Linked DNA regions of Macaca fascicularis. The protein of the gene in region 4 purifies or fractionates together with the protein of the main gene of each other region. This does not show direct contact. Links are inferred from orthologs where the notes say so. Each region holds a gene or a part of one and is shown on either strand. Other genes may lie near its edges.

What was found.
Region 1: the proteins of SNRPF (region 4) and CLNS1A purify together in Homo sapiens (affinity purification with mass spectrometry; 3 studies listed by BioGRID and IntAct, counting the BioPlex papers as one, with this or other methods). This does not show direct contact. The link is inferred for Macaca fascicularis from reciprocal best matches to the Homo sapiens genes SNRPF and CLNS1A.
Region 2: the proteins of SNRPF (region 4) and SF3B1 purify together in Homo sapiens (co-immunoprecipitation; 3 studies listed by BioGRID and IntAct, counting the BioPlex papers as one, with this or other methods). This does not show direct contact. The link is inferred for Macaca fascicularis from reciprocal best matches to the Homo sapiens genes SNRPF and SF3B1.
Region 3: the proteins of SNRPF (region 4) and TUT1 purify together in Homo sapiens (co-immunoprecipitation; 3 studies listed by BioGRID and IntAct, counting the BioPlex papers as one, with this or other methods). This does not show direct contact. The link is inferred for Macaca fascicularis from reciprocal best matches to the Homo sapiens genes SNRPF and TUT1.
Region 5: the proteins of SNRPF (region 4) and SNRNP70 purify together in Homo sapiens (affinity purification with mass spectrometry; 5 studies listed by BioGRID and IntAct, counting the BioPlex papers as one, with this or other methods). This does not show direct contact. The link is inferred for Macaca fascicularis from reciprocal best matches to the Homo sapiens genes SNRPF and SNRNP70.
Region 6: the proteins of SNRPF (region 4) and SF3A2 purify together in Homo sapiens (affinity purification with mass spectrometry; 4 studies listed by BioGRID and IntAct, counting the BioPlex papers as one, with this or other methods). This does not show direct contact. The link is inferred for Macaca fascicularis from reciprocal best matches to the Homo sapiens genes SNRPF and SF3A2.
Region 7: the proteins of SNRPF (region 4) and TGS1 purify together in Homo sapiens (co-immunoprecipitation; 3 studies listed by BioGRID and IntAct, counting the BioPlex papers as one, with this or other methods). This does not show direct contact. The link is inferred for Macaca fascicularis from reciprocal best matches to the Homo sapiens genes SNRPF and TGS1.

What each region holds. Positions count from the first base shown.
Region 1 is NC_088388.1:76,526,136-76,529,635, forward strand, and holds part of CLNS1A (methylosome subunit pICln), read right to left. Parts: intron 2,198-3,500; coding exon 2,061-2,197; intron 1-2,060. UniProt on the Homo sapiens protein: Involved in both the assembly of spliceosomal snRNPs and the methylation of Sm proteins.
Region 2 is NC_088386.1:93,002,273-93,004,809, reverse strand, and holds the end of SF3B1 (splicing factor 3B subunit 1), read left to right. Parts: intron 1-834; coding exon 835-1,051; intron 1,052-1,555; coding exon 1,556-1,714; 3' UTR 1,715-2,037; downstream 2,038-2,537. UniProt on the Homo sapiens protein: Component of the 17S U2 SnRNP complex of the spliceosome, a large ribonucleoprotein complex that removes introns from transcribed pre-mRNAs.
Region 3 is NC_088388.1:11,478,944-11,482,200, reverse strand, and holds part of TUT1 (speckle targeted PIP5K1A-regulated poly(A) polymerase), read right to left. Parts: intron 1,248-3,257; coding exon 778-1,247; intron 1-777. UniProt on the Homo sapiens protein: Poly(A) polymerase that creates the 3'-poly(A) tail of specific pre-mRNAs. Localizes to nuclear speckles together with PIP5K1A and mediates polyadenylation of a select set of mRNAs, such as HMOX1.
Region 4 is NC_088385.1:102,892,111-102,896,042, reverse strand, and holds the start of SNRPF (small nuclear ribonucleoprotein F), read right to left. Parts: upstream 2,801-3,932; 5' UTR 2,679-2,800; coding exon 2,676-2,678; intron 697-2,675; coding exon 571-696; intron 162-570; coding exon of another isoform or gene 99-161; exon of another isoform or gene 1-98. UniProt on the Homo sapiens protein: Plays a role in pre-mRNA splicing as a core component of the spliceosomal U1, U2, U4 and U5 small nuclear ribonucleoproteins (snRNPs), the building blocks of the spliceosome.
Region 5 is NC_088393.1:57,061,431-57,065,540, reverse strand, and holds the start of SNRNP70 (U1 small nuclear ribonucleoprotein 70 kDa), read right to left. Parts: upstream 2,801-4,110; 5' UTR 2,607-2,800; exon of another isoform or gene 2,402-2,606; intron 1,848-2,401; 5' UTR 1,838-1,847; coding exon 1,691-1,837; intron 1-1,690. UniProt on the Homo sapiens protein: Component of the spliceosomal U1 snRNP, which is essential for recognition of the pre-mRNA 5' splice-site and the subsequent assembly of the spliceosome. SNRNP70 binds to the loop I region of U1-snRNA.
Region 6 is NC_088393.1:2,893,132-2,897,128, reverse strand, and holds the start of SF3A2 (splicing factor 3A subunit 2), read right to left. Parts: upstream 2,801-3,997; 5' UTR 2,130-2,800; intron 1-2,129. Other genes in the region: PLEKHJ1 (pleckstrin homology domain-containing family J member 1), read left to right, coding at 3,405-3,498, 3,663-3,730, 3,826-3,892. UniProt on the Homo sapiens protein: Component of the 17S U2 SnRNP complex of the spliceosome, a large ribonucleoprotein complex that removes introns from transcribed pre-mRNAs.
Region 7 is NC_088382.1:65,784,996-65,787,896, forward strand, and holds the end of TGS1 (trimethylguanosine synthase), read left to right. Parts: intron 1-1,706; coding exon 1,707-1,913; 3' UTR 1,914-2,401; downstream 2,402-2,901. UniProt on the Homo sapiens protein: Catalyzes the 2 serial methylation steps for the conversion of the 7-monomethylguanosine (m(7)G) caps of snRNAs and snoRNAs to a 2,2,7-trimethylguanosine (m(2,2,7)G) cap structure.

The DNA.
Region 1 (3,500 bases), on a different chromosome or scaffold from region 4:
GAGATCGCGTCACTGCACTCCAGCCTGGCAACAGAGCAAGACTCCATCTCAAAAAAATAAAAAAAACTGGAGAATTAGTGAAATAAATGTGACCCAGGAAGATACTAATTTCTAGTAAGATAGGAAATCCTGCATATTTTACTAAGAAAGGATTAATCATAATCACATCAATTACAATCAAATAATCATATAGACTCTGTAAGATTATAGAGCACATATTTAAAACACACACCCTAAAACCTACTGAACTGCTTTTTCCTAGTTTAGGACTTACAGCATTTGCATTTTAAACAAGCTTCCCACGTATTTCTAATATGTATCCGTTAGTCTTGAGTTTGAGAACCAGAGACCAATATACTCCCTTAACCTTTCTGGATGAAATTCAGGCTCAGAGAGATGCAAATGACTTGCCTAGCAAGTTAATGACAGAGTTTTTACTTTTTTTTTTTTTTTCAACAGAGTCTCGCTCTGTTGCCCAGACCGGAGTGCAGTGGTGCAATCTCAGCTCACTGCAACCTCCACGTCCTGGGTTTAAGCGATTCTCATGTCTCAGCCTTCCGAGAAGCTGGGATTACTGGCGCCCACCACCAGGCCCAGCTAATTTTTGTATTTTTAGTAGAGACAGGGTTTCACCATGTTGGCCAAGCAGGTCTCCAACTCCTGACTTCAGGTGATCCGCCTGCCTCGGCCTCCCAAAGTGCTGGGATTACAGGTGTGAGCCACTGTGCCCGGCCTAATGACAGAGTTTTCTTATTCAATGTGCTTTTGCCCTTTATTATTAAACACTATTTCCTAAGCCTTTCTCTTGATATGTACCTTTCCCACCTCCAATGCCCGTCACTATTTAGGGCCATTTCACACCAGCATTTGGAGCTGACTGGCAAGAGTACCTCTAAGGTTTTGCATTTCTGGAAATCAATGAATGCTTTAAACTAAACATGACACATGATATTCTTAGTTATAAAATCATAGTTGCATTTACTTAGATGAAAAGCAAATTTTGTATCTAATGCCTTATTAGGAAGTCTTACTACACTACTACACCCCAGGGTTAACAGCCTTTTACTTTTCCTAATCCTCTTTTTCAGACTTCACTAGATTTTTAAATGTCTTTGAACCTTTTCCAACGGCAAGAATTGGAAATCTTATAACAAAAATATTTTCAGATAGCTGAATCAGTCATTACCACTTAATGAGGCAGGGCTTGCCAAAAGTCCTAAGAATTACTAAATAGTGTCACAACTGAATATAAATGATCATATTATTATATCTGGAACCATATTAAAATCCCAATTTGAAAGAGCAATAGTCTTATAGGTAAATAAATGGGATTGTCTCTTACACACTGCTTCAAAGAAAAGCAACCCATTATTTTAAACATGAACATCTTCACTAGATTTTTACAAGTCTTTGCAATTATCCCAAAGCAAAACTTGAAAATCTTTATATCCTACAGTTTCTCAACCTTGGCACCACTGACATTTGGATGGAATAATTCTTTGTTGTGGGGGACCATCTGCGCATAGCAGAATATTTAGTACAATAATAGCACCCTTGGCATCTAACTGCTAGATGCCAATAATATCCTTCCTCTTTCAACCAAAATGTCACTGCCAAATGTGGGGGAATGGTGAGGCTGGTGGAGGTCTATGAAAAATATATTCCCCCTACACCCACTGATAACCACTATTGTAACAAAACAGAACAGTTCTATCTTAAATTCTCAGAAGCACAGGGTATACTGATCCAAGTCCCTAAGGGTGCCTTTTAAAAAGAGAAAGGCAGAATAAACAGTGAAACTTTAGAGGAAAGTTAGAAATACATATCCATAATAAATGAAGAATTCTAAGTGTAAATATATAGAAATATATACAGACACACACAAACGTCCATTATGAAAACTTCAACTGTCCAAGTTGCTGTGCTGAAATTTTGCTTAATAAACTACTATCCAAAATGAGTCAATGGCCTCAATGTTACATTGATTATTATCAAACACTCTTTTTTAAAATATAATTTGCTATCAAAGGAGGCATTAGATTAAATTACACCATACATACCTTCAAATTTGGCATTCACCATAACATACAAATGCTCTCCTAGACAGTCACTTCGGTCCCTGGATAATGCATGTAAACTAATAGTGGGGTATTCCAGTGAGAATCCTAATCCAGAACCATCTAACCAAGACAGGCGGCTGAAAAACATGTTTTAAGTAGATTAGTTTTAGAAAGTAAATCCTAATGTAATATCACAAAGTACATAAAAGTTCAGCTTGGACACCTTTATGCATATAAATAAATTCAAGCTTACTTTTTTAGAAATGTTCATAAAATAAGAAAATTCAGGCCAGGCGCGGTGGCTCAAGCCTGTAATCCCAGCACTTTGGGAGGCCGAGACGGGCGGATCACGAGGTTAGGAGATCGAGACCATCCTGGCTAACACGGTGAAACCCCGTCTCTACTAAAAAATACAAAAAACTAGCCGGGCGAGGTGGCCGGCGCCTGTAGTCCCAGCTACTCGGGAGGCTGAGGCAGGAGAATGGCGTGAACCCGGGAGGCAGAGCTTGCAGGGAGCTGAGATCCGGCCACTGCACTCCAGCCTGGGTGACAGAGCGAGACTCCGTCTCAAAAAAAAAAAAAAAAAAAAAGAAAATTCAGTAGTGGAAATCGAATTTTCTTTAAGATCAATTCTGTTAAAGTCTCTTTCCCTCTAGCTATAAATTCAAACAGACTTGAAATTCCATTTTCCTCAGTCACATGTATGTTTCTATGACTTTCAAGCTTCTTCTTTTTTGATATGTCTTCAAATACCCTCTTTGCTTTTGCAAATCCTCCCCTCTTCCATGAGGCCTCCCTTCAACTACACCAGTCCATAAAGACCTCTTCTTTTTCTGATTTGCAAATTTTAGTACTTAACTCTGTGGTAGTGAGTCTTATATGTGCCCTTATGGAATATGAGCTATTTGACAGCAGGACTCGTCACATTCCTTTATTTAACATTCTTCAAAACCATTAACAAAGAGCTCAGGAGGTAAGTATGCAATAAATCCTTGGTAATCATTCGTTTCTCCATGAATCCTACACTAAAAGACATAAATGGGTGTCATCACACTCACCGCAACTCAGGGAATATTTATTACCTTGAGAGACAGACTCCCTGAAGCCTCTCATTTATTCAACATCTTTAAGAGAAAGCCACAGAAAAGCTAGGCCTAGTTTTCCCTCAAATGTGGTCAAATGCAAATATTTTATTGGTGTACCAAAGGAAGCACATCACCAAAATCAGTATGTTGAGCTTTCAGTAGAGGCTAGCTAATTTTCTGATAATATTTCATCCATCTGTACCACTTAGCAGAAAAAAAGTAAAAAATCCTGAAGAAGCTAAAAAAAAAAATGTTAATGCAATACAGTGGTTGCCTAGGGCTAGAAGGAAATAGGAATGTCTGCTAATGGGTACCAGGTTCTTTTTGGGGTGAAGAAAATATTCTAAAATTGTGG
Region 2 (2,537 bases), on a different chromosome or scaffold from region 4:
AGAGACAGGGTTTCGCCATGTTGGCCAGGCTGGTCTAGAACTCCTGACCTCAGGTGATTCACCTGCCTCGGCCTCCCAAAGTGCTGGGATTATAGGCATGAGCCACCATGCCCAGCCTGAAAAGTAATTTTAAAAAAGAGAAAAAAGTTTAAAATAAGATATTACCGTTTATTATTCATACATTAGAATCACATACCTCCTCTTTAATAGCATAATAAAGCCAAGACTTCACAGAGCCCTGCTGCTCATATTCCTTTTAAAAGTTAATTAGAAGGCTAGGCGTGGTGGCTCACGCCTGTAATCCCAGTACTTTGGGAGGCTGAGGCGGGCAGATCACAATGTCAAGAGATCAAGATCATCCTGGCCAACATGGCGAAACCCCATCTCTACTAAAAATTCAAAAATTAGCTGGGCATGGTGGCACACACCTGTAATTCCAGCTACTCAGGAGGCTGAGGCAGGAGAATTGCTTGAACCTGGGAGGCAGAGGTTGCAGTGAGCCAAGATCACACCACTGCACTCCAGCCTGGGCGACAGAGTGAGACTGTCTCAAAAAAAAAGTTAATTAGAAAATATGGCTTAATTGTTGAGCAATAGTGAAGCTTGAGTCATTAAAGCAAAAGTTCTCAAGTGGAAACATTAGTTATTCTAAAGGATATATTAGACACACGAAATGTTAGGATGACTTCACATCTATTCAGTGCACTGAATTAGTAATTTCGTTTCCAATGGGCAGGTGAATATTTCCTGTAAAACTAAGACCATATCTTGAAGGATTTTTTCCCCTTTCTTATAAGACTGTATCTTAAAGGACTTTTTTCCCTTCCCTTATAGAGACCTTGTACACAGACAGACGGCTAGTGCAGTGGTACAGCACATGTCACTTGGGGTTTATGGATTTGGTTGTGAAGATTCGCTGAATCACTTGTTGAACTATGTATGGCCCAATGTGTTTGAGACATCTCCTCATGTAATTCAGGCAGTTATGGGAGCCCTAGAGGGTCTGAGAGTTGCTATTGGACCATGTAGAATGTTGCAGTATTGTTTACAGGTAAGTTAAAGTTGTTTTTTTTTTTAATCGGTGAATTTTTTTTTTTTTAATAATACTTTAAGTTCTGGGATACATGTGCTGAATGTGCAGGTTTGTTACATAGGTATACATGTGGCATGGTGGTTTGCTGCACGTATCAACCCATCATCTAGGTTTTAAGCCCCGCGTGCATTAGGTGTTTGTCCTAATGCTCTCCTTCCCCTTTCCCCCCACTCCCTGTAAGTTAAAGGTTTTTAAAAGATTACTTAGCAAGAAAAGTAGTGTGTTGAATTAAGTTACTTTTCCTGATTATCAACAGGGTATATTGTGCCATATGGTAGAACAATTGTGTGGTGACGGGGGAGTGCGTTTTGTCTCTTCCGTTTTAGCTTTGTATAATTACTAGGCCCCCCCCACTCCCCAAGGGAAATAATTTTGAATCATATCTTTATGATTTGTTAATTTTGTTAAGGTTATGTGTGTTCTTGAAAATTGAAATAAGGTAACTGTTCAATATTATTTTAGGGTCTGTTTCATCCAGCCCGGAAAGTCAGAGATGTATATTGGAAAATTTACAACTCTATCTACATTGGTTCCCAGGATGCTCTCATAGCACATTACCCAAGAATCTACAACGATGATAAGAACACCTATATCCGTTATGAACTTGACTATATCTTATAATTTTATTGTTTATTTTGTGTTTAATGCACAGCTACTTCACACCTTAAACTTGCTTTGATTTGGTGATGTAAACTTTTAAACATTGCAGATCAGTGTAGAACTGGTCATAGAGGAAGAGCTAGAAATCCAGTAGCATGATTTTTAAATAACCTGTCTTTGTTTTTGATGTTAAGCAGTAAATGCCAGTAGTGACCAAGAACACAGTGATTACATACACTATACTGGAGGGATTTCATTTTTAATTCATCTTTATGAAGATTTAGAACTCATTCCTTGTGTTTAAAGGGAATGTTTAATTGAGAAATAAACATTTGTGTACAAAATGCTAATTTGTGTGTGTTTTTTGAACATGACTTGTAAAATGCGGAACTTTGATAAAGTATTGGTTTATGTGGAATAAGTGGCTTAATTTCATTTTCTGTCACCTGGTTAATAGAAAGTAGTTAGCCAAATAAAAATTATATGAAGTGATGGCATCTTTGTCAAAATTCCATTGTTCTGTTAATAATGACAGCAAGAACAGTAGCCTCAGGAGGTGTTCCCCTCAAACTAGCACAACCATTCCATCATCATAGAAAAGTAGCACTTTTGCTAAACTGTCTTGAATATTTTGTACTTACATAGCGCCTTTCATCTCTTGATTTCTCAAAATGCTTTATGAACATGTTTAAAGGAAGTGGTTTAAGTCTTGTCCAACGCTTGAAAGTCTGCTGTGTTTAACAAGTGAGAAATTTAACTTTACTTCAAAACTGCTTTCTGCCTATTAGGAGTGAGGATACCTAAGTAATGCTGATAGAACAGATTCCTTATGTACTGTGATAAT
Region 3 (3,257 bases), on a different chromosome or scaffold from region 4:
CGCCCGGCCTATTATTCTTAACACTGCTTTTGAGCCATGGTCACACCACTGCACTCCAGCCTGGGTGACAGAGCAACATCCCATCTCAAAAAAAAAAAAAAAAAAAAAAAGACTGCCAAGAGCCTTTACTATGCAAAGAAACAAAGACAGGAAGGGAGAGAAGAAGGAAGGAAAGGAGAAAGAGAAGGCAAGGCAAGGGGAGAAGGGAGGAAATGGAGAAAACTTTTTGCATCTAATTTTGACTTTCCCAAATTTATTCAACCGCAGAACTCTTTTCTACATCCCTTGAAAGTAATATTCTAAGGAACACACTTTACAAACACTGAAAGGGAAGCCAGGCAGGAGGAGACAAGGGACAGAAGGAGGGATAGTCCCAAACAAGGACAAACTTGAGACTTGGCAGGTGCAGGAGTTTCCCAAGCCAGACTCCCTCCTGGCGCACCCCAGAATTCTCAGCCGGCCTGCCCCAAAGAAAAGTATGGTGCCTCACGCCTGTAATGCCAGCACTCTGGGAGGCCGAGGCAGGCGGATCACCTGAGGTTGGGAGTTCGAGACCAGCCTAACCAACGTGGAGGAACCCCGTCTCTACTAAAAATACAAAATTAGCCGGGCATGGTGGCGCATGCCTGTAATTCCAGCTACTTGGGAGGCTGAGGCAGGAGAATCACTTGAACCCGGGAGGCGGAGGTTGCAGTGAGCCAAGATGGTGCCATTGCACTCCAGCCTGGGCAACAAGAGCAAAATGTTGTCTCAAAAAAAAGAAAAAAAGAAAGATACCGGTTACTGAGGGAGATGTCACCGTGGAGACCTGAAGGCCGATGACAGAACTTGACCACAGGGCGCCGGGCGGAGGGCACAGTTTGGACTCGATACACCCCGGGGACACAGCCCCGGAGAATGGATCCCACCAGCTCCAGCATTGCTGCCCCTTCTGCTTTCTCCCGCTTTGGGGCCTCTGCTAGTTCCAGGGCCTTCCCCAGGCCCCCCTCTCCCCTATCCTCCAGCAGTGGTGAGGCTGGAGGCAGAGACTGGGGAGAAGCAAGGGTCTCAGAGGCCAAGGCAGAGTCTGGAGTTTGGGGTGCCAGGGAGGAGGAAGGGGTTTCAAAGTCCAGGGCTTCAGAATCCTGGGGAGAAGCTGGAGATTGTGAATCTGGAGGGGAGGCTGGGGTGCAGGCCAGGGCTTGAGGGTCCAGTGGCGAAGCCAGGGCCGAGTCCAGCGATGGAGATTCTGGAGCCTTTGGGACTGGCTGTGGACAGAAATGAGCTGAGTGAAATGCTTCTGCTGTCCCCTAAGCAGAGAACATCTCTATCCCCAAGATAATATCACTTCCAGCTTATTCAGCTCTATGCTAAGGGCTTTATACATATTAACTCATTTAATCTTCACACCAACCTTTTTTTTTAAAGATAACCTTTTAATTCTATAAAATAAAAGGTCTACCTCTGCAAAAAATGTCATTATCGCGAAAGACAAAAACAGAGGAACTATTACAAACTAAAGAAGACTAAACAGAAACCATAACAGTCCATTGTCAGGACAGCTGACCAAATTAGAGTATGGAATGTAAAGCCTAAAGGTTTACATTTGTATCAATGTAACATTTTCTCAACTTGACAATGGTACTGTGGTTATACACTAGAATACCTTTGTTCTTGCATAACACACATTGAAATATTGAGGGGTAAAGGAATGTGATACATGCAACCTCTCAGATGATTCAGAAAATACAAATAAAGAAAGTGTGTGTGTAGAGAACGACAAAAAGAATGATAAAACATTTAAAAACTCCTGTTGCGGGGGCAGCAGGCATATAGGAACTCTACTTTCTGCTCACTTTTGCTGTGAATCTAACACTGCTCTAAAAAATAAAGTCTTTTTTTTTTTTTTGAGATGGAGTCTCAATCTGTCATCCAGGCTGGAGTGCAGTGGCACGATCTTGGTTCACTGCAAGCTCCGCCTCCCGGGTTCAAGCTGTCTCTCCTGCCTCAGCCTCCGGAGTAGCTGGGATTACAGGCGCCCGCCACCATACCCGGCTGATTTTTCTATTTTTAGTAGAGACGGCGTTTCACCATGTTAGCCAGGCTGGTCTCAAATTCCTGACCTCAGGTGATCCACCTGCCTTGGCCTTCCAAAGTGCTGGGATCACACAGGCGTGAACCACTGCGCCCCGCCAAGTCTATTTTTTGAAAATAATAATAGGCTGGGCATGCGGGCTTATACCTGTAATCCCAGCAATTTGGGAGAATGAGGCAGGAGGATTCCTTGAGCCTAGGAGTTCAAGACCAGCCTGGGCAACATAGTGAGACCCTATTTCTAAGTAATAATAATTATCTTTTTCTATTCCTAAAACAGAATCTGTACATTAGATGTTAGAAAATATAGGTGCTGGGCGCGGTGGCTCACGCCTATAATCCCAGCACTTTGGGAGGCCGAGGCGGGCGGATCACAAGGTCAGGAGATCGAGACCACGGTGAAACCCCGTCTCTACTAAAAATACAAAAAATTAGCCGGGCACGGTTGTGGGCGCCTGTAGTCCCAGCTACTCGGGAGGCTGAGGCAGGAGAATGGCGTGAACCCGGGAGGCGGAGCTTGCAGTGAGCCGAGATCCGGCCACTGCACTCCAGCCTGGGCGACAGAGCGAGACTCCGTCTCAAAAAAAAAAAAAAAAAAAAATAGAAAACACAGGTAAGTGGCCGGGCATGGTAGCTCATTCCTGTAATCCCAGCACTTTGGGAGGCCAAGGTGGGTGGATCACTTTAGGCCAAGAGTCCAAGACCAGCCTGGCCTACATGGAGAAACCCCATCTCTACTAAAAATACAGAAAATTAGCCAGGCATGGTGGTGTGTGCCTGTATTCCGAGCTACTTGGGAGACTGAGGCACGAGAATCACTTGAACCCAGAAGGTGGAGGTTGCAGTGAGTAGAGATCACAGCACTGTACTCCAGCTTGGGTGACAGAGTTAGACTGTGTCTCAAAAAAACAAAAAAAAAAAAGAAAGAAAGAAAATACACAGAGCAAAACTAAAAGGACCTTATTGTATAATTTTTAATATATTTTTTCCAAAATAAAATCATATTGTACACACCATTTTGAAAATTTTTTTTGTTACGACTGCCAGGTATCCATGTCAATTCATTTTTTCTTTCTTTTTTTTTTTTTTTTTGAGGAGGAGTCTCCCTCTGTCACCCAGGTTGTAGTGCAGTGGTGCAATCTTGGCTCACTGCAACCTCTGCCTCCTGCATTCAAGGTGATTCT
Region 4 (3,932 bases):
AAAATGGTTAGAGTGGCAAAATTGTAATGTATATTTTACCACAATAAAAAGAAAATTAATTACAAAAAAACCCCCACCAAAACACATGGCTGAATCATTTACAGAAACTCATTTGACAGACATACAGTCAGTTCAATTTCTTCGGCAGATGTGTCTTTCCCCTGAAGGAATGAATTTCCTCAATAACTTTGGTGTTGTGCCTTTAGCATCATTCATTAAAAGACTCATGAATTTCACTTGAAAACTTTCTTTCAGGGCTAAATGATGAGAAATGTTTTGTTTTCTCCAGCAAAGTAGTGTGTTTCCCTTACAGTATTATTATGAATTAAATGTCTGAGCTCTTCTTACTTTAACTACTAGGAATAAAATCTGTGGCTGAATTCTGGTTTAAGTCCATGTCTTGTACCTAGTATATCATAGTATCCTCCCTGGCTTTGACTTTATTTTTTAATTTTGCCGTACATTTGTCAATTTAATTGTATGTATTCTTATTAGTCAGACTAAACCTTTGAGCAATAAGGTGAAGCAAACTAAATGCAATGTTATGACCTTTACAGCTCTTTAGCTTACCTGCATGTTCATGTAGCCATCTACAGATACCAGATAGCCCTTGTACTCCATTCCCCACTTAAGTTTCACCATCACTGGCTTTCCTGTTAGTCCATTGAGGAAAGGTTTGGGATTGAGGGGTAAACTCTGCACAAAGAACAAAAAAGGATCCAATTAATTATTTTTCCTCCCACCACCAACTCTCTTCTACTAAATACCAATATTTTGTGGTATGCAAATGAAGAAAACTCTTGACTCATTATTTTAGTACACAATTTTCACTTTTATTTATTGGAGAGTACCAGGGAAATTTAAATATCCAGTTAGTCAGTATCACCTTTAACCCATCAAAACAAAATACTCACTATTCACTTAAGATAACACCGACTACATACATCACTTACTGTTCTGAGCTCTAAAGAAACAAAGATAAAGGCACTTTAAAAAAAAAAAATGCGGGCCAGAAAGGGTGGCTCATATCTGTAATTCCAGCATTCTGGAAGGCCAAGGCAGGGGGATCACTTGAGGCCAGAATTTCAAGACCAGCCCAGGCAACATAGTGAGACCACCTTCTCTACCAAAAATAGTCAGATGTGGTGGTGCACACCTGTAGTCCCGGCTACTAGGGAACAGAGCAAGACCTTGTCATAAATAAATAACAGAGTCCCTGTCAAGAAGTTGGAGATGGGGAGGGGGGCTCCTCACATACAAATAATTATACTGCATATTGCAACATAATAAGAGGAGATATACTAGGCACAAGGGTACCGAAGCAATCCAGGGAAAAAAGGAAAGGTTGCCTGAAATAAGTTAACCTCAGTTTTAAAGAATGAGAATTTATTTCCAGAGCGGGAAAAAATCCTGTTCCAGGCAAGGCTAGCTACTTATGTAAAAGGAGGGAAGAGTGAAGCAACAAGGTGATTTTGGGGACATACAATTCAGCATTGTCAGTCAAAGTCCCAAATATAAGACTACAGAAGGAAGCAGAGGGCAGATGACGCTTGACAGTCTTTAACTGTGGAAGCTAGGGCTAGGTCCTAAATGACTTTGTCACTAGCACTGCCTCTTATAGAAATCACTTAAAGTTTGTTCAGCAAACCATTAACATCTCCAGTGAATTCGGTTTTTGCCTTTTTCTGCTCACTCACCAGTCAAAGAAAGAACAGAACTAAGAAACTTGGCTACTAACCCCCTCTAACATAAACATATTCGGAGTGACTTGATACGGCGATTACTCCAATAACCTAATGGGTCTCCAGTTTTCATTCTCCAATTTATTATCCACCACAGCAACATGATTTTTTAAAGTGCACATCAAATTGTCATATTTCTGCTTAAAATGATTCAATGGCTTCCAACTCAATCATTTTCAATTGATTTGGAGTACAATCAAAACCTCCCAATACAGCCTAAGAGGTCCTGTCCAACGCCTGCTCCTCCGACACCATCTCGTAACCACTCTTCCTGCAAGTGGCTGTACCTTTTTGTCAATTTCTCCAACTGACCAAGCTTTCTTTCCGGCCGCAGGTCTTATGCGCCTATTCCCTGTGCTCGGTACACTCCTCCTCCTGCTCTTTAAAGGGTCTATTTCATGACACTTAGGCTTCAGGTTAAATTCCACCTCCTAGGGAGGCCATCTCTGACTAAGCCTCTAAATGTCTAACGCGCACCCTCACAGCCTCCTGTCTGCATTCTTCTTAGCACTTATTACTTGCAATTGCATATTTGTTATTTTTTGACTGTCTGTCTTCCCCAACCAACTGAGTTAAACTAGAGCATGGCCGTATCATTACTTTCATGCAATGAAAGTGAATTTTGGAGTGTGGTTAAGTGGGAAGTGCAAATTCTCTTTGAGTTTTACCCCGACCCTGTAGCCACAAACAAGAATATCCCAAGCCCGGATTCAAACAAAGAGGAGAAGGCACGGGTACTCCTAGAAAAAGAAAGGCATCGGGAGGAGCACGCGCCTCAGAAATCCTAAAAGCAGAGTGAAAGAAGCTGGCGACCGGGTGCGCGGCGCCTCACGCGGATGAATGGGAAACGCGCGAAGCAACCACTAGGCCCCGCGAGGTGGTCTCCCTCCTTCTCTTTCTCCCCGCTTCTCCCGCCGTTCTCGTTCTCCTTACCATCGTAACCACGGCCGAATATTGCAGGCTACTCACTGCCGACCAGGCTGCCGCTTGTCCCTCGTGACTACAGCAGGTACCCCAGGTCCCGAGCCGCTGAATTTCAAGAAAAATGGCCGCCAAACAGGAGTGTGACCTTTCACCTCCCACCACGGCCCTTCCTGCCTCTGTGATTGGACGAAAAGAGATGCGCGCTGATTGGAGGAGATGGTTGGACCAGTATCTCCTGGCAACCAGCAGCGGCTTGAGTTTGCGCCTGGCCGGCTGCGCGCGGGTCTTGGGAAACCCGCTCTGAGGAGCAAGGTGAGGCAGCCAAGGACTGGAGGCAGGCCGGTGTTGTAAATGTGCGGTCTGGGAGAGGCTGTGTAACGGATGTGACTTCTCCCCAACTTGGTTAATGGGGATTTTACTTTGTCTTTTTACACCCGTGAGAATGTTCAGGATCCCAGAGTTCCTTCCTCACTCTTCCAACAGGTTCCATGATTTGGGGGCGCCTCTGCCGCAGGCCGTTTCTACCTGAGTATTCTCTCTTCTGCAACACCCATTTCAACCCCTTTTAAAGGACTTCGGGGGTAGCCAGACAAGACTAGGGGCGGTGAAACGCACCGAAGGGAGTCGGATACAGAATTTATTTTAAACGAGGTCAGGTTGTGTCTGGGATATGATGTCATGTCCCCCCACCCCCCACGACCCCGCCGGCCCCATCTTTCTTTTGCATCGCCAGCAGAGACTGGCACGGCCTTCTTACGTGCATTTGAAATTACCTAAGGGCGTAAGCAATATTTCCGCTGTCACGGATTAAAACTTTCGACGTAACGGTGTTATCTGAATCTCACTGGTTTTTGTCGTAATCCTAGTGAGTTCGGCTCACTCTGATCTGAAATGCTAAATGCAGTTCTTGGAGAACACGCCCTTTGGGAAGTAACGCTTTTTTGCGGCCCTGAAGAGATGGATTTGAGGTTGAGGATGAAATGTTGGTTGTTGAGGCACTGTGGAGCAGTGGGCAAGACTTTGGAGAGGGCCTGCATTCGGAACCTGCGTCTATCAGGCGCAGCCGGTGTTGGGCAGTGTCTTAACCCTCAGGGCCACTGTTTCCACGGCAGGAACGCGGCTTTAAAAACGGAACCATCCTCAGCGTGGTTGCGAGAATTTAACCTAAAACGGGGCTTGGCCTTGTAAAAGCTCAGTGTTTCACATAAGTGTTGAACACTGACAAGACAGTCATTGTCAGTGTAGTTTTTACCAAACAGTTATTAG
Region 5 (4,110 bases), on a different chromosome or scaffold from region 4:
AAAAAAAAAAAAAAAAAAAAAAAATTAAAAAAAAAATAAATAACTAGTAACTGAGACCAGGCACGGTGGCTCACGCCTGTAATCCCAGCACTTTGGGAGGCCAAGGTGGGCGGATCACGAAGTCAGGAGATCCAGACCATCCTGGCTAACACGGTGAAACCCCGTTTCTACTAAAAATACAAAAAATTAGCCGGGCGTGGTGGCAGGCACCTGTAGTCCCAGCTACTCCGGAGGCTGAGGCAGGAGAATGGCGTGAACCCAGGAGGCGGAGCTTGCAGTGAGCTGAGATCGCACCACTGCACTCTAGCCTGGGCGACAGAGCAAGACTCCCTCTCAAATAAATAAATAAATAAATAGAAACTGGCACATGACCTGCATCATCAAAGGGCACCTACCACCGCCTGTGCCCATTAAGTTAATTTAACTGGCCAGTAACACTTCTCAAATGCGGGTTCACCAAGGGTGGCAAATCCCACTGAAGATACACCTTTCTGTTATCTATGAACTTCTGCTGTGCAACTCCCTCGCCTCCAGCTGCCCTTCCCTACGCAATGCCAGAATGTTCTTGTAACTTCTGGCTATGTGCCAGTTTTTCTCAGGTGTGCTCTGATGCACCTAGGAGAAGACCTTTGTCATCCCATTTCACAAATAAAAACACAGAGGTCCAGGAGCCTAAGTCATTCATTCCTATTTACCCCGAAGGTGCAGAGCTAAGATCCCCATCTGCAGTTTTAAGTCCTCCAATACTCAATACTGGGTGCTAAGTCTTTATGAACATCATCTTATTAACAATAAAAACAGTAAACAAAGTAACAAAGGCTGACACGTGCTGACTGGTTGGTGCCAAGCCCCTGATATACACTTTGCCATTTAATTCTCCAGCATTATGAGGGTGCTACCACTATCCCCTTGCTAAAGATAAAGAAACCAATGCATGAAGAGGATACAACATTTGCCCAAAGTCAGAGCTGATAAATGGTGCGGGTTAAGTGCCAATCTTCAACCACTACTCACTGAATTTTCACAAAAATTCTACAAAAGGGGTACTATCAAACCCTACTTTTTTTTTGAGACAGTCTTCTTCTGTTGCCCAGGCTGGAGTGCAGTGGCACGATCTCAGCTCATTGCAACCTCCACCTCCTGGGTTCAAGTGATTCTCGTGCCTCAGCCTCCCAAGGAGCTGGAATTACAGGCATCATCATGCCCGGCTAATTTTTGTTATTTTTAGTAGAGACGGGGTTTCACCATGTTGGTCAGGCTGGTCTTGAACTCTTCACCTCAGGTGATCCACCTGCCTCAGCCTCCCAAAGTACTGGGATTACACGCGTGAGCCACCGCACTGGGCCACAACCCCACTTTAAAAAAAATTTTTTTTTTTTTGAGAGACAAAGTCCTGCTCTGTCACCCAGGCCGGAGTATAGCGGCACAATCACAGAGCACTTCAGTCCCCAACTCCTGGGCTCAAGCAATCCTCCCATCTCAGCCTCCTGAGTAGCTAGAACTACTGCTGCACTCGACCACACCCGGCACCCGGCTGCAACCCCATTTAAAACAGCGAAACTGAGGATCACAAAGATTAAGCCCCTCGCTTAAATCACACAGCTAGCAAAATAGTCAGAGGCTGGACTCGCAAATCCAACCCCTTGCTCCCCAGAACCCAAACCATTCCTGGCCTGCTCAGTGAACTCACCTCAAACTCTCGAATGTACGGCGCAATGCCACAGTAAGGTTGATTGTGGTGTTTTTCATGTGGCAGTTTCTCCAGGGGTGGCAGGTATGGGATAGGGTCACGGGGGGCAAAGAGGGCCAGAAGGTTGGGCGGCAGGAACTGGGTCATCTTGCCAAGTCTGAGAGCAGAAGCAGGACAGCCTTAGGTTAGATCGGGTCTGCAGAGAAAGCCCCTATTACTCCTTGACTCTCAAAGTAAGAAAGAAAGGAGAAAAGTCTCGGAATTAAAACAGGCTTTGTAACGGCAGAGAACGGTCCTGTGTTACGGAGAAAAGGGTAAAAGTCTTGTTGGAGGTGGAGGTGAAAGGCCGGTAAAAGACACAAAAATAAAGGCTGAAAAAGGGTTCCTGAGTAGTGAAGTCTCAGAGTCCTGAGACACGAGCTGTGGGGCGGAGAGGTTGCCTGGGAATTTCTGGGGGAATCAAAGACCCGAGGAGGGAGGCCCAGGGCAGTTGTGGCTGCTCGTCCCGTACCGTGGACAGCAAATTACTAGACGCAGTTTGCAAGGGCCTGGGGGTCGGAAGTCTCCGAGCAAAGAAAGAGAAACATAAGGAGCGAAGCCCCAAAACCAAGCGATTGTGGGTAACAGATCTGGGCCCCGCAAAGGCGAAAGGAATTATGGGTAAGGGTCCAGGACAACATAGAAAAACGAAAAAGAAAAAAGGCTACACACCGCAAGGGCCTGTGGGTAGGGAACCGCGAGGGCGATGTGGGGACCGGGCGTGGGTGCCCAGAGAACTCGGGGTCCGGGAAAGGGATGCAAAAGTGACCTGTGGCGAGGACGCGGGAAGGGGGCCTGGCCGCGGGGAAGAGGCCCGGGCCCACCGCTGGGGCTTCTGGGTAGCGGCCCCGCTCCCCGTCGGGCCACTCAGTCACACTCACTCGCCGCGCAGCGCCCTCCTAGCTCTGGTGTCTGTCCGGAGGCTCGCGGCGGCTGCGGCGGCCCCTCAGCAACAACAGCTCCTGCTTGGGCTTCCACTCTGGGGGCGTCCGCGTCCGTCTGATTCCGTCGCCCGCGCAGCGAGCGCACCAGGCCGCTGCTCAGGAACCCGCGCGGCCTCGGCTAGCGACTGGAGCAGGGGGTGGGTCCCGGCCGCAAATCCCTCCGCCGTCTGCACTGCGCACGCGCCGCGCGAGGCCAAGCTCAACCCACACGCTAGGACCCGGCGCCGCCGCGGCAACAGCGCACGCGCGAGGTCACCACCCCGCCTTCGGGCACCTTGAGTATTTCAACCGCCGGGAGCTGGCGTCTGCACTGCGCGCGCGCGCTTAGCCCCAAGCCGCCCCTCCACCTCTCGCTTTCCGCTCCAAACCGCCTATGTCCGCGAGGCTCTCCCTGATGCTCCGCCCCTTTCCAATCACACTTCCCGGATCTTGCGCGCATGCGTTCTGCGTAGTGAACTATAATGTACCTCTCCGCCGACTAGCAAAGAGTCCCTAAGTGAATGGCCTGATTGCGTTGATGTTTAATCTAGTCAATCGATAACTGTTCATCGAGCATCTCGTGTGTGCTAGGCACTGTCTGGGCTTTGGGGCTACAGCACGTGATTAAAGCAAAGTCTTCTCCTGCTAGGGCTTACACTGTACTGGGAGAGACAATAAAAGCATTTAACTGAGTAAAGATAATTTGAGGCCGGGCGCGGTGGATCACGCATGTAATCCCAGAACTTTGGGAAGCTGAGGCGGTCGGATCACCTGAGGTCAGGAGTGCGAGACCAACCTGACCAACATGGTGAAAGCCCGTCTCTACTAAAAATACAAAAATTATCCGGGCGTGGCGGTGCGCGCCTGTAATCCCAGTTACTCGGGAGGCTGTGGCAGGAGAATCGCTTGAACTTGGGAGGCTGAGTTTGCAGTGAGCCGAGGTCGTGCCATTGCACTCCAGCCTGGGCGACAGAGCGACTCCGTCTCAAAAATAAATAAATATAAAAAATAAAAGATATTTTGAGATAGTGGCCAGCATAATGAAGAACGATGGAGCAGAATAAAGGGATGGGAAATGAGAGCGAGTCTATTTTGATAATGGAAGCCTCTTCTGAAGAGGCAACATTTGAACAAAAACCAGATAGAAGCGAGATCTGGAGGCGGGGGGGAGCGGGGGGTGGTGTTTAACAGTTTAAGTGCAAAGGTCCTGAGCGAGGACCAGATGGCAGAAATCTCAGGTTGTTAGCCATGAGATCAGAGAGCTGGCACTTAAGTTATTTGAAGCCCTGTTGTTAAGTATCTTAAGTTTTGTGGATAGATTCAATAGCCTGTTTAATAACTAAATTACTGCAAAATTCAATTGACTAATTTTATGTTTCAATAAAAAGGCCAAGTGCAGTGGCTCACACCTGTAATCCCAGCACTTTGGGAGGCCAAGGCGGGTGGATCACTTGAGGA
Region 6 (3,997 bases), on a different chromosome or scaffold from region 4:
GCCAAATATGGATTTTCAATCTAGATTTTTATACCCCACCAAACTTCTAACTATGAGGGTAAATAAACTCATTTTCAGGCAATCAAAGACTTCCCCCATCCCCGAAAAAAATCATCTATTTCTTCCAAAGCTCCCAGAAGTTCTGCTCTGACAGCAGGAAGAGGAAAAGATGGCCACACTGGGAACAGAGGTCAGCACAGGGCAGCAAGGACAGGAAGGTTTGGGACACCAGCTCCACCCAGGCAGAGCACAATCAGTCCCATTTGGAGGAGGAGGATACGGGAGTCTTGGAGGGCAGTGGGGAGGGGGAGATCAATTCATTTAAACCTGTGCAAAACACAACTGATAGGTGTGAGATGCTGGAGCTTTGTGGGGAAATAAACAAACAGTAGGGAAAAGAAAGGCTAATGGTAAAAACAAAGTTAATTAGCTTTAAGGGAAAATAGAATGCTACAACAAAAGCCCAGTTGAACACATTACTTGTTTTAGCAGCCAACTAAATATATATACATATACATGTGTGTATGTGTGTGTGTGTGTGTATATATATACATATATACACATATATATACATATATATACATATATACACATATATACATATATATACATATATACATATATACATATATATATATATATTTTTTTTTTTTGAGACGGAGTCTCGCTCTGTCGCCCAGGCTGGAGTGCAGTGGTGCGATCTCGGCTCACTGCAAGCTCCGCCTCCCGGGTTCACGCCATTCTCCTGCCTCAGCCTCCCGAGTAGCTGGGACTACAGGCGCCCAAAACCGCGCCCGGCTAATTTTTTGTATTTTTAGTAGAGACGGGGTTTCACCGTGGTCTCGATCTCCTGACCTTGTGATCCGCCCGCCTCGGCCTCCCAAAGTGCTGGGATTACAGGCGTGAGCCACCGCGCCCGGCCATATACATATATTTTTTTGAGATGGAATCTCGCTGTGTCTCCCAAGCTGGAGTGCAGTGGCGTGATCTCAGCTCACTGCAAGCTCCGCCTCCTGGGTTCACGCCATTCTCCTGCCTCAGCCTCCCGAGTAGCTGGGACTACAGGTGCCCGCCACCACACCTGGCTGAATTTTTGTATTTTTAGTAGAGACGGGGTTTCACCATGTTAGCCAGGGTGGTCTCAATCTCCTGACCTCGTGATCCACCTGCCTTGGCCTCCCAAAGTGCTGGGATTATAGGCGTGAGCCACTGCGCCCGGCCCTGAGCAGCCAACAACATTTTGCATCTTATTTAAAAAATACAACCAATGACCAACTGTGCTCACGACAGAAACTCATTCAGGATATGGAAGGCGAAGGTGCAGTGGGTGGATAGGAGGGAGAAAATCTCAACAGCCGTGACAGGAAATCAGCAGATGATGTCTACAAATTGATAAATCCAGGAAGAAGTATGTTATTTACTAAAGTAAAGATCAGGGAACAGAGTGGAAAAACCCCATCTCTACAAAAAAATAGAAAAAAGAGCCGGGTGTAGTGGCTAATGCCTGTAATCCTACCACTTTGGGAGGCTGTGGGGGGGTGGGGGGGGGAAGGATCACCTGAGGTCAAGAGTTCGAGACCAGCCTGGGCAACATGGCCAAACTCCGTCTCTACAAAAAATACAAAAATTAGCCGGGCATGGTGGTGAGCACCTGTGGTCCCAGCGACTTGGGAGGTTGAGGCAGGAGGACGGCTTGAGCATGGGAGTTCGAGGCTGCAGTAAGCTGTGATGGCACCACTGCACTCACTCCATCCTGGGTGACAGAGCAAGACACTGTCTCAAAACAAACAGAGAGACAAAAAACCGACGACGACCAGGGGAAATGAACTTAAGAATTGAGGAAAGGTGGCCTCCGAGACCTGGGGCTGGACCAGCGGGAAGGAATTAGTTTTTGGTGGCAACACCGTTCTCTCGTTAAACCCAGCAAACAACCTCTTTTCCAAAGCTCCCCCTGGCTGTTTGGTGTTCTCCAAGGATACACACGAACAACGGTCACAGCCATGTGCACCTGCAAAATGGGGCCAGCTAACGTTTTCTGGTCCCCTTTGGCATGGTGTTGAAGCTGTCACTCCCGTTTTAAGGGGAATGACGCTTACAGGAGTTACATCACAGAGCCCCAGTGAACTCACAGGTATAGATTAGCATGCAGAAGCGTTCTCGGCTACAAGGAAGGAGGCCCAAACCATTTCAGCCGCGATCCCGATCTGATCCCAACGAGTCTTAGTTGTTTCTTTTTCATTTTGTGAAACAGGGTCTTGCTCTGTTGCCCAGGCTGGAGTGCAATTGCGATCATGGCTCACTGCAGCCTCGACATTCCGGGATCAAGCGATCCTCTCGAGTAGCTGGGGCTACAGGTACAACCACCACTCCTGGCTAATTTTTAAAATTTTTTTGTAGAGATGGGGTCTCGCTGTGTTGTCCAGCCTGGTCTCGAACTCCTGGCCTCAAGCGATCCTCCCGCCAAGCCCTCCCTGAGCGGTGAGATTACAGGCGTGAGCCCCCGCGCGCGGCCTCCCAACAGGAGTTTGGAAATAGAGTTCCGAGGGGGCCCGACCCTCCGGGCCCGCCCAACGCGGGACCTACAGGATGCACAAGGCCGGACGCTCACGGGAGGAGGGAGGGGAGCGACGCCGCCGCCCGCCCCTCGGCCTGCGGCCTGTCGCAAGCTCCTCTCTCCTACGTCCGCTCTTCCCCAGGGAACCCCCGGTCCGAGTCGGCCGCCACCCTCAACCGGCTCCACTCCTCACCAGAGCCTGAGGGCGCGTTATCTCCTCGATCCGCCACCGCCACGACTTCGTTCGGCGCACGCGCGTCGCGGTCAAAGAAAGCACTTCCGGGGCAAATGGGGCGGGCCCTCTGGTGTGCGCATGCCCGGCCCGCCCAGCGGCGCAAGTCAGAGGGTCAGGAGGCGCGAGGGAAAGGGCTGGAGGGGGCGGGGCTGAACGCCCGGCCTGGAAGGCAAACCGCGCGTGCGCACAACGCCCCCAACGAACCCTTGGTTCGCTGCGGCCGCGCTGGGCTAACTTTCGCGAGGGGCGGCTGACATTCTTCGGGAGACGTTATCGCTCCCTCCGCCTGCGCCTGGCCGCTCTAGGAAGGGGTGCCAGCCATCGCGGGGGTGCCTTGATGCTGTTCCACCTTTGTCTGGTTTATTTCAATTTAATGGTTATGTAACGACTGTCCGTCTCCGCTACCAACTCGTGCACCGCCCCCCCGCCCCCCGCCCCAGGTCGCCAGCGCCACGCACTGGAGACTGGCGGCATGGCCGGCCCAAAGTGCGCAGGCGCACTAGCCCCGGCGGTGCTTCCGTGTCTGCGCCCTGAGACCTTTTTGGCGCCGGCCCCGGCGTGAACGGGGACGGCGGCCGGGAGGGCGCGGTCCAGGTTCCCGTTCCCCGCGAAGCCATGCGGTACAACGAGAAGGAGCTGCAGGCGCTGTCCCGGCAGCCGGCCGAGATGGCGGCCGAGCTGGGCATGAGGGGCCCCAAGAAGGGCAGCGGTGAGCGGGACCCGGGAGACCGGGACAGTGCCAGGGGCGGAAGGCTGGGGCCGCAGTCCGGGCGCGGGTGCCGGAGGCCGGATTCCGGGTCGGGGCGCCGGGTGCGGGAGGCCGGGGTCCGGGCGGGGGCTGCCTGCGCCCCTGAGCGCGCGCTGTGCCCGCAGTGCTGAAGCGGCGGCTGGTGAAGCTGGTGGTGAATTTCCTCTTCTACTTCCGGACAGACGAGGCCGAGGTAGGGGCGTCGAGGGCGCGCGGGCGGGTCCCAGGCTGGGGCCCCGCGGAGGCCGGGTGCTCACTGCTCCGTCCCGGCGCCCGTGTCTCCTCCAGCCCGTCGGAGCCCTGCTGCTGGAGCGGTGCAGAGTCATCCGGGAAGAGCCCGGCGCCTTCTCTATCAGTGAGTGGGGCTAGGGAAGCCAGCGGCGCCTCCCGCAGCCCGGGGCACCAGCAGCGCTGCAACTGTCCCCTCCCCAGGCGCTCAAGGCCTCCTCTATGTCCCCAG
Region 7 (2,901 bases), on a different chromosome or scaffold from region 4:
TTTGAGTACTTGAATAATGAGAGGAAATCACTGTTTATCATGCAATTTATGCTGATTAACTTTTTCTAGTTACATTAACAGTTTCACAAAGAGAAAGTTAACTTTTTCTTTAACTTGTGTTTTTGGTTTATTTCAAAAACTTTCCAGAATTGGAGTTGGTGATTCATGTTTTTTGCCTCTAGAGGGAGTAATGACACTAGGGAATAATGAAACCAAGAAAGACTGAGATTTCAAGTGTATTATTTTATTATTATTATTTCAAGTGTATTTTTTTGCTATCAAATTTAGATCAGATTACAATGGGAAATCAACTTTTTTTAAATGAAGAAAATGTATCCATATGTAGGAACTTTTTAATGACAGGAGACAGTACTAAAAATTTAGAGAAATCACAGTTGCAAAGAAATTGACTTTTTTTTGTTAAGGAACTTTTAGAATGTTACAACAACCTGAATTTACAGATGGTTTGAGTTCCCAAGTGTGTCACAGTCTGCTGTTTGAAACTCAGGCTGTATTTTTCTCATAGAAATGTCTGTGAAGGATAGTTAATTTCCCATCCAGGGAGATTGTACTCTTAGATAATGTTTATATCATCCTAAATAGCATGGACTCAATACAAATACAACTTATCTCAAATATTTCCATGTAAGAGATGATGCTAATTGTTTTCTGTATCTAGTGAAATGTTTTTCTAGGTCCCTTATTACCTCAATCTTCTATTCCTTTTTTCTCTTCGGAGATGATTCCAAGACATGCATTTCTTGCTAAGAACTCTAAGAACTGAGTAATTTAGAAAAATATCTTTTTGTGAGAGGCTCTTTGGAGGTAAGGTATATACCTTACTGTTTGAAATTGCTGTTGAAACCCAATAACTAATATTTATTTATTTATTTATTTATTTATTTATTTAATGGAGATAGGGTTTCTCTCTGTCACGCGGACTGGAATGCAGTAGCATGATCATAGCTCACTGCAACCTCAAATTCCTGGGCTCAAGTGATCCTCCTGCCTCAGCTTTCTAAAATGCTAGGATCTCAAATCCAATTCAGAAAGCCCAGAGTAAACATATTTTATCTGCTTGATGCCTGTATCTTGCCATGCTTTCCTTTCTTTCCTTGGACAGCCAGAGAATTCCAACTAATTCTAGCTTTGGATTTACCATGCTTCACAAACATGAAAGGTTTCTCTTTTAAGTGATAAACCTATTGAATATATTAATAGATAAAATAGATAAAAATCTCTGAACAGACAAGGACTTAGTCCTTCCCAAAGGAAGATGCAGGCAGCAATTATCAAACACCACCTTTGTGTGAAATCCTTGTGGGTGGAATCTCTGACATAAGGAATCTTGTCTCTTAGCCCAAGGCAAGAACGAAGAGAGGAAGTCTGCTGGTCAATACAGAGAGCAGGGCAACATTAAGCAACATCCCTAAGAATTATGTTTAAAAAATGAACTGTATTATGTTAATTCCTGGCCTTTGTCTAGCAGACACACTCTACCCTTCCATGGCTTCCCCAGGCACATGTCATGGTAACATTTGGGCCAGGCAAACCCTACCTACTTTATTTCCTCATAAAGTGGAGAAGTTTACAAATTAACTAATAATTAAATAAACCCTAAGTATAAAATTGATGTTAGATTTAATAATGGGATTCATCTCTCTTTTTTTTTTTTGTTTTTGTTTTTGTTTTTGTTTTTGAGACAGAGTCTTGCTCTGTCACCCAGGCTGGAGTGCAATGGCATGATCTCGGCTCACTGCAACCTCTGCCTGCCTCCCGGGTTCAAGCGATTCTCCTGCCTCAACCTCCCAAGTAGTTGGGACTACAGGCGCACACCACCACGCCCAGCTAATTTTTGTATTTTTAGTAGAGACGGGTTTCACCATGTTGGCCAGGATGGCTCGATCTCTTGACCTCTTGATCCGCCCACCTCGGCCTCCCAAAGTGCTGGGATTACAGGCATGAGCCACCGCGCCTGGCCCTCATCTCTCCTTAGTTGGCAGAGTACTTAAAACTCCAATTGTCTTTTTATATTTTGTTCTATAATGTCTAGGAAGGGAAACGTTCCTCATTGTAACAGTCACTTCTAATAGTTTATTTTGGTAGATAGGTAGGTAGATGGATAGATAGGTCGATAGGAATGAGGTATTTATAGGTCATACTTCTAAAACTTATATAAGAATAGAATTGTAAGTATTTGAATAATGAACTGTTTGTAAATATGAAAAACTATTAGGTAATATTGTTATGTGGAAAATGTTTTAAATATAACTAAATTCAGTTTATTAGCATTTTTGGTGGTTTTGGCTAAATACAATAAAAATGTATCACAGATTTATTTGCAAATATTCTAAGTAATTATAGTATCTGTGTATTTAATAAATGGAAGATTGGGCCCTAACTGGTTTCTAAATATTCGATTTTTTTAATTTGTGTGAAATTTTTCTGAATTAAGTTAATATAGTGGAAATCTAATCTAATGGTAGCTCTCGTATAAGTAGAGAACATTAGTCCAGGTTTAGGAACCAGAAGCATGAGAGAGTAAAAAGAAGGCTAAGAACTGGATTGGGCTTCTGGTACATGTTGGAATAGTAGACTCCAAGCTAGTTACTTGAAAATAGCCTTTACAGCTCATAGCACTCCACAGTGCGTTCATTCCTACCACACTAACAATACCCTGCATTCATACACTATACATCTACAGCATAGGAGCTGGCATACATGCTTAGGTAGGGTGTACAGTGTCCTCTTAGCCATTTCATTGACTCATCATGAGATTCTGGAGCAGTATGTTTCTGAAGCACCTGATCTCATTGGTGGCTAAACTATGGAGGTATGGAGATTTGCCTGGTCATTCTGCCGCACAGCGACAGTCTTATTACACCTTGCTGTCTCCCACTG